Linked DNA regions of Kluyveromyces lactis. The protein of the gene in region 2 interacts with the protein of the main gene of each other region in a biochemical or structural test. Links are inferred from orthologs where the notes say so. Each region holds a gene or a part of one and is shown on either strand. Other genes may lie near its edges.

The links. The genes of interacting proteins can lie anywhere in the genome.
Region 1: the proteins of RAD16 (region 2) and RAD7 form a complex in vitro, tested with the Saccharomyces cerevisiae proteins (2 studies listed by BioGRID). The link is inferred for Kluyveromyces lactis from reciprocal best matches to the Saccharomyces cerevisiae genes RAD16 and RAD7.

The regions. Positions count from the first base shown.
Region 1 is NC_006037.1:709,596-713,707, forward strand, and holds RAD7 (UV-damaged DNA-binding protein RAD7), read left to right. Parts: upstream 1-1,635; coding exon 1,636-3,363; downstream 3,364-4,112. Other genes in the region: GTPase-activating protein GYP1, read left to right, coding at 1-1,316; PRP39 (Prp39p), read right to left, coding at 3,424-4,112. UniProt on the Saccharomyces cerevisiae protein: Component of the global genome repair (GGR) complex which promotes global genome nucleotide excision repair (GG-NER) which removes DNA damage from nontranscribing DNA.
Region 2 is NC_006038.1:809,341-814,147, reverse strand, and holds RAD16 (DNA repair protein RAD16), read left to right. Parts: upstream 1-1,573; coding exon 1,574-3,970; downstream 3,971-4,807. Other genes in the region: LYS2 (L-aminoadipate-semialdehyde dehydrogenase), read right to left, coding at 4,076-4,807.

The DNA of each region.
Region 1 (4,112 bases), on a different chromosome or scaffold from region 2:
ATAATATGCCGATACCGATGATTAATAACGGTGGTATAGAAACCACTCTGCGGCCTCCAGCTGTGATACAGGACGATCGAGCCATTGAATCACAGAAATCCTCAATGGATTCTTATCAAGGAACTATCCCAAATTTGAATAGGACCATCAGTAATGATTTGAAATTACAGTATCAGATTGAAGTGGAGAAGGATGTGCAAGAGTTGAATAGTTTGATGGTTAGAATTGAAAAGTTCAAAAAATTGATCAAACCAAAGGATTCCACCACGCAGGTGAACCTACCCGAGATCCGTAAGTTGGCTTGGAATGGTATCCCCATGGTACATAGACCTGTTGTATGGAAGCTTTTGATTGGATACTTACCGAGTAATTTGAAGAGACAAGAACAGGTATTGAACCGTAAAAGACTGGAATATAAGCAGGGTGTAGATCATATCTTTTCCGATAACCATGAGAAAGATGTAACAACTTGGCATCAAATTGAAATTGACATACCGAGAACCAACCCACATATTCCATTGTACCAATTCGAATCAGTTCATAATTCATTGAAACGGATATTGTATTTTTGGGCCATAAGACATCCTGCCAGTGGTTACGTACAGGGGATCAACGATCTAGTGACACCTTTTTTCCAAGTGTTTTTGTCCGAATACCTTTCACCATCGGCAAAGGATGACGTTTACAGTTTAGATCCGCTGACGTATTTGACTGCAGAGCAGTTGTCTGATGTAGAAGCGGATTGTTTCTGGTGTCTATCCAAACTCTTGGAACAAATCACAGATTATTTCATCCATGGTCAGCCTGGAATATTGAAACAAGTCAAACACCTCAGTCAGTTGGTGAAAAGAATAGATTGTGATTTATTCAGCCATTTCGAATCTGAGCACGTTGAATTCTTACAATTTAGTGTCAGATGGATGAACTGTTTGTTGATGAGAGAGTTCCAAATGTCAATGGTGATACGAATGTGGGATACATACCTCTCCGAGACTTCTTTGGAGACAAGCATAGTCTCAGAGGATCTCATGTCTGACGCATCGACTTCTCTGGATAGAAAGTCGAGAACATCGTCATCAGGGCCCTCATCTTCAGACTCCAGACAAACTACTCTCAGTGAATTTCATGTTTTCGTTTGTGCAGCTTTCCTAGTGAAATGGTCAGACGAATTAATGAAGATGGACTTCCAAGAGATAATTACATTCTTACAAAATCCACCGACAAAATCGTGGAAGGAATCTGATATAGAAATGTTACTAAGTGAAGCTTACATATGGCAGTCGTTGTACAAAGATGCTACTTCTCATTGGAGGTGATCTTTGAAGGGAGAATACTAAAATTTAATACTTTCACATATATCTAATATATAATGTAAACTGCCTGATTCAAACAACTGTATTGTGGAGAATGAATAACTAACAGCCCACCTGCAGGTTCCGTGAATCTTCTAGCATACTTCTCCTCGCATATCTCTTGCTTTTTTTCTCATCAGTAGCATCATTATTGTTTGCAGTGTCTGAAATTATTGTTAGCAAATAATTAATCAAAACTTAATCTCATCTCATCTCAATGAAGTTGCTGGTAGATAAGGTAGTCTCGACTGGCGGTTAAGGGGCTATTCCACGAGATATCGACATGTATAGAGCAAGGAGTCGTCGGAACAACGATGGTAGTGGCGTAAGAGGACCAAACAGTGCTTTGACCCAGTTTTTAAAGGAACAAGGTATTAGTGCTGAGAATATTAGAGATAGATGGTTAGAAGCTCAAAAGAAGGAAGCCGAACATCCACAAGAAACTCAGAAGGATGATTCTGAAACAGAATCTGATGAAGATCTTAAAGCAGGGGTAGCTGCAAAAAAACGGTCAAGAAAGCCCAGAGCTGTTAAGAAGCAGGAGTCGTCTTCTTCCGGAGAAAGTGATGATGATGAGGACGACGACGACGAAGATGACGATGACTACAAAGCAGAGGCGAGGCTTCGCCGGTTACGTGGTGCTGACCTAGAAGATTCTGATGAGGAAGAAGAAGTATTGCCGGTTTCTGATCGAAAGAAAAGGATGTTGACCTTGACTAATGGTAAGAAAACTTCTCCGCAACTAGCTAAGGCTCGCCATCAACAGAAGAAAACTAGAAGAAAGAAGGCTGCCAATCTTTTAGACAAGAAGGACTCACTCATTTCATCATTGCAGGATATATGTATTAAAGTTATCGGTAAATCTATTGTGGAATATAATGCACAATCGATGGTGGAACATATTAGAGATACTTTAGGTGGTGTATCTTTAGAAAACTTGAACAAACTAGCACAAGCTTTGACAAAAAATCGGGCCTTGAATGATGATACTTTACAGTTATTCTTGAACACCAGTTTAACTACTTTGACGTTTTATGACTGTTCAAAGTTGTCATATGAAGGCTACAAGAGACTTGCCATCTTTTCGCCGCATTTAGAGTCGCTTTCCTTACAGATGTGTGGACAGTTAAATAATGAAGCTCTCTTGTATCTAGCCGAAAAGCTACCAAACCTAAAAGAACTATACCTTGATGGACCGTTCTTAATTAATGAGGATACATGGGTTCAATTCTTCGAATTGCTAAAGGGTAGACTTACTGCTTTTCATGTTTCCAATACCCATAGATTCAATGATAATGCATTGTCAGCTATGCTTCGAAATTGTGGATCGTCCTTGGAATCTCTAGGTCTAGCAACTCTAGATACTGTGACAAATTACGCCCTATTACCGCAATATCTTAACTCTCCTAATTTCCACACTTTGATCTTGGAAGAGCCATCTAGAGAAACAGATATTAATGACGAGGTTATTATAAGTTTGTTAGGATCCATAGGCCAGAACCTTAGGAAGTTGTCGCTCAATAGATGCACTGGCTTGACTGATAGCTGTATAATTAATGGATTTTTACCATTTTTGTCTAACTCAGGGCAATCAATCCTTACAGACTTGGAATTAGAAGAATTGGATCAGATAACCACCGACGGCATAGTTCTATTATTCTCTTCGTTGCAGTTCCCTTTGTTGAAAAGATGTAGCTTGAAAAGATGTTTTGCTTTGGAGGATGCAGCCGTAGTTGAATTATTACTTAACTCCTCTTCCACCTTAGAAGAGTTGAATCTAAATGGTCTGAAATCCCTAACATCCAAAACTTTCACCTTCATGGCATGTCCTAACCTCAAGCAGCTAAATATAGGGTTTGTCCACTGTGTGGATAATGAAATTGTGGAAAAGATATCCAAGGACAATGAAAAGCTCACTATTATTGAAGTTTATGGTGATAATCAAGTCACAGGCAAATGCTCTCCTCGGAATGGTGTAAGCATTATCGGAAGGCAAAGTGACAGTATATAAATGATTAAAAAAATTCTAGGATCATGAAAATGCTTGAGTGTGAGAATGCCCTTTCAGCTACTACTTTAAATAATCTATAGACATGTAATCATCAAATTTAGGTTTCTGATGGATCTTTTCTAAATTTCTAAAAGTAGGCAAAGGTGCTGGATTGAGCTGCTTCGATGCAAGCGTCTCTATTATAGTATTTTTAATTTGAGGCTTATCAATGAACAATCCAGGATGACCGTTCGATCTATACTTTTCTGATTTATACCAGTCCTTGGTTAGCTTGGCGTTCGGCCTCCATGTTGGGTTGTTGATTTTGAACCTATTGTGAACTATTGGGTCAAACCCAAAACGGGATTGCGATAAATTGGTTTCGTACTCGGAATAATCTGCATTGATTAGATAAAACCCTTGGAAATCTCGTACGATATCATTGATAACTTTTGTTGGTAATACGATCTCAGTGCCTAATTGATCGACAAACTTTGTTAATCTGGCGATATTTTTTTGAGTCTTTTCAAACTTGTAGTAAGTCAACCAAAATAAGACTGAAGTCTTGATCGGATCCAATTTGGCGAAGTATGTAAAGTGTTTCCTGCATTGAATGACGTTCTTCAATACCAGCCAATGCACTTTTATTAGTTCAACTACCAGTATCGGAAGAGTAGTGTCATTTAGCATGGCAAGCAACTGCTGGGAAATGTCGTGATTTTCCGTATCTGCATTCCCTGATAGGTACGCCTTGATAGTTTTATCCAAAA
Region 2 (4,807 bases):
GGCTATAAGTCTGAATATTTCTTGCTTTTAGTAGACCAAAATACAAACCCTTTACGTCACACTTAAAAAATAACCTGGCTCTCGCTATTATCACTGAGCTAAAGTACGATCAATCGTTCCAGGTTTATAACCTACTATCAAAATACAGAACCAATAATTCTCGCAGATCTTCGTTACCTATTTGTGTCCTTCTCTCCAAAAAAAACAACAAAGATGTTGACAATCAAACTTAAGTATCGTGTTAGTAGAATTCTAAACATTTATTTATTTCAATTTTTTTTTTTCTGTTTCTTCAAAACCAATGCAAACGTTTATTTGTTATTTTTAATTTTTTTTTTTTTTTTTTCAACGGAATCTGCGGGCGTTTTTAGCGGAATCTCTCAGTAATGTCGACATTTTGGCAAACCGTCAGTTTTATGTCAAGATGCTGTATCTATTTAGTACTATGTCTACCCTATATCTAATTACTCTTGTGTATGAACGTCTCCATTGAGTCTACTTGTACAGGTAGGTCTGTGGAGTAGCTCTTTATTTTATCTCCTGGCATATAGAATCTTCTCTCTGACAACCTGCATCATGGAAGAAACGATAAAATATCACAGGATTCTTGCCTTCTTCTATTACGAATCAAAAACTCGAGGGGTGATAATACGAAGTGGAGGGAGGCGATGAATTCACCCTGACCGGGGAAAAAAAAACTGATGTCTGTGTTCGTGTTATCTGCTGCAAACACTTCTCTGTTGGATTTTCAGTGGAACAGAGGCAGGTAAAGTATGCAAAGCATTGGCGCTCGCACCACCATGTTAATCAGGCTTACTTCATCATTGCTTTTTCTTTTTTTCTACTGTTTCCTTTCTTTCTCTCAGCTGTAAGTTTCTGTGTGTGAATGTTCGTTTCTATCTTTTTTTTTTCCCTCGAGTGCTTAAGAATTGCCTTGGGGCTAATTCTAATGATATTACGGTATGCGATTTGCCAGATTCAGCAAATATGCGAGTCGTACGTTGCTTCTGGGACGAGTTTGTGATGATGGCTTGAGTCGACGTTTTTTTCGAAAGAAAAAAAAAAAATATTTCGTTACCTTCGCATAACAGCCGAGACGGTATGACAGCAACACCCTTGTATACCATGGAGTGAGCGAAGACGCGTGGTAGTGTACAGTGTAGAGCGTACGGTTTTTATTCCTATGAATGAGCCACATCTTTTGGTCAATTGGTCACGTGATCATTCTGATCTTGTTGTTTCTCCGAAAGAAATATTGAGGTACGTACGTCACCTTGGCAAGTTTCTCCGCCCGGAACAACTCTGATCTTGATTAAAAAGAAACGACTGCATTTTCCTCGAAAAAGAAAAGGTATTGATGTGATTTTCTACATGGCTAAACATTTACCTATGATGATGGATCCTGATTCATTTCTGATGAAAAAAGCGTTTGCTGAAGCCCGAAATACTACAAAGGCTAACCTTAATACATTGTTGCAAGCTTGGAGATACTGATTAGCATCAGCAAATTATAAGAATACACGCATCAAACAAGGGAACTTGCACTGATCTCTGAGTTGAAAATAAGATGACGATGGAGGAAGGTGGGTTCATCAGAAGGACAAGGCAGAGCGGGAACCGGACTCGAACTGCCAAGAAGAATGTCGTATACATTGAATCAAGTTCAGGTGAGTCCGAGGATGAGCCATTAGTAAAGAAAGAAATTAAGAGCAATAAGGGTAACGCAAAAGCCAATGACAAGGGCAAGTGCAAAACCAAGGGCACAACTAAGGCAAACCGAAATTTGGATTCGGATTTAGAGTATGATGATTCTTTGGTTCTCTTATCGGATCAGACGGACAGATCTGGTGATGAATCAAGTGATGAGCTCAAACGTGAACAGGTAGTCGAACTGATATCCTCTTCTGATGATGATGAACCTCTGCAAAATGGACCGCAAAAGAAGAAGAGAAAGGCTAATGGTAGGGCTGGTGGTGCCACTGCTACTAAGAAGAAGCCGACAAAACCCAAGATCTCTCCTTTCGAAAGAAACACAGCAAAGTTGTATGCTCATCATTCAGAACTTATCGATGTGTTCAAAAAATTACAGGAATCGCCGATACGGCAGGTGGAAAGAGCTCCTCAGCCTGATGGTATGGCCATTAGATTATTACCTTTTCAGTTGGAAGGTTTGCACTGGTTGCAACAACAAGAAGAATCGGATTATAATGGTGGTGTGCTTGCTGATGAGATGGGTATGGGTAAAACCATACAAACGATAGCTTTGCTGATGAGCGATATCACAAGGAAACCATCTCTTGTCGTGGCACCAACAGTGGCGTTAATGCAGTGGAAAAATGAAATCGAACAACACACAAACAAGAAATTATCCGTATACATGTACCATGGAGCTAATAGAACGAACAATCTAGGTGATTTCAAAGACGTTGACGTTATCTTGACCACTTACGCTGTTTTGGAATCCGTCTATAGAAAACAAGTTTATGGTTTTAAAAGAAAGGCTGGAACAGTAAAAGAAAAGAGTTTATTACATTCTATCAACTTTTACCGAGTAATTTTAGATGAAGCTCATAATATCAAGGATAGAACAAGTAACACTGCCAAAGCTGTTAACTCCCTCCAGACGAAAAAAAGATGGTGTTTGTCTGGTACACCTTTGCAGAATAGAATCGGTGAAATGTACTCTTTGATTAGATTCTTAAACATTGAACCATTCACGAGGTACTATTGCAAGCAATGTTCTTGTTCATCTGAAAATTGGCGTTTCTCAGATTATTTACATTGTGATGACTGTGGTCATGTTGGTATGCAGCACACAAATTTCTTCAATCATTTCATGTTGAAAAACGTTCAAAAACATGGCATTGAAGGACCGGGTCTACAATCTTTCCAAAATATTCAGACCTTATTGGCTAGGATCATGTTGAGGAGAACCAAGGTGGAAAGAGCGGACGACCTTGGATTGCCACCAAGAATCGTTACTGTTAGAAAGGATTACTTCAACGAAGAGGAGAAGGATCTCTATCAAAGTTTATACTCGGACATCAAAAGGAAGTATAACTCTTATGTTGAGGAAGGTGTGGTTTTGAATAATTATGCTAATATCTTTACCTTAATCACTAGAATGAGACAGATGGCGGACCATCCTGATCTAGTATTGAAAAGGCTCAAGGGAAATAATGATAATAACCCCGGTGTTATTATCTGTCAGTTATGTGATGATGAAGCTGAAGAACCAATTGAATCCAAATGCCATCATAGGTTTTGTCGCCTCTGCATCAACGAATATATTGATTCTTTCATGGCAGATGAAAAAAAACTAACATGTCCGGTATGTCACATTGGACTCAGTATCGATTTACAACAACAAGCTCTTGAAGTTGATGAAGAACTATTCAAAAAGCAAAGTATTGTCAGTCGGTTAAAAATGGGAGGTAAATGGAGGTCCTCCACTAAGATTGAGGCTTTGGTTGAGGAGTTATACAACTTGAGAAGTGACAAGCGCACGATCAAGTCGATTGTCTTTTCCCAATTCACATCAATGTTAGATCTTGTTGAATGGAGATTAAAACGTGCAGGTTTCCAAACAGTTAAATTGCAAGGCAGTATGACTCCCACTCAAAGAGATCAAACAATTAAATATTTTATGGAGAATATCCATTGTGAGGTTTTCTTAGTTAGTTTGAAAGCTGGTGGTGTGGCTCTTAACTTATGTGAAGCTTCGCAGGTGTTCATCTTAGACCCATGGTGGAACCCCAGTGTTGAATGGCAGAGTGGTGATAGAGTCCATAGAATTGGTCAATTCCGGCCAGTGAAAATTACAAGATTCTGTATTGAAGATAGCATAGAGTCCAGAATTATCGAACTTCAAGAAAAGAAGGCTAGCATGATTCATGCAACAATCAATCAGGACGAGGCGGCAATTAATAGATTGACTCCGGCAGATTTGCAGTTTTTATTCAACAATTGATTTTATATCAGGATAAAATACATAAAGATGCATACTTCTTTTTAGTTACGGATGTTTATATACATCCATATTTATATTAAAAAGTATACTGTCCCTTAAATGTTTTCAAGCAGCAGCGGAACTACTACGAGCACCAGCTCCTGAAGAAACTAGCTTGATTTGCTCTTCAGACAATGATATTTGAGGTAAATTCAATTCACCAGTCGTTGGTGGAGGAGGCAAAAAGCCTACCTTATTCAAAAAGGCAATATAAATACCGATTTGTTCTGGGGTAGCTCCTTTCCCTGAAGAAACGTCAACACCTGTCCATTTTTTATCTTTTTGCAAGGATGAAGTCGCATTTGTATCATCTAATTCAGGAGCCCTGGTGTTCTCCGCTAAGCCATCCAATACCATATGTAACAATGGATACAAGGCATTATCTTCACCTCTTGCGATTACAGAATGTTCAAGAGATAACTTCCAGTCTGCATATTCTTGAATTTCAACGTTGTAGCCATACTTCTTCAATTGGTATAGATAATCTTTGAATAGGATACGCGGATGGCCCGTTACATGTGCAACAGCTAGCTCATGTTCGTTAGGAGGATTGAAAGCACTGGCTGTTACAACACGTGCTACATGATCAACAGGTACCATATTAACTGTGTTGCTGATGTTAGGGATTTGACCCAACTGTACCACCCCCTTTAAGAATCTTAACAAGAAATCATCAGTATTGGACGACCCATTGGATGAGGCACCGGTAACATAACCTGGTCTAACAATGCAGCCGCGAAGACCACGCTCCCCCGCTCTTCTTATGATATATTCGGCGGCCCATTTAGATTGACCATA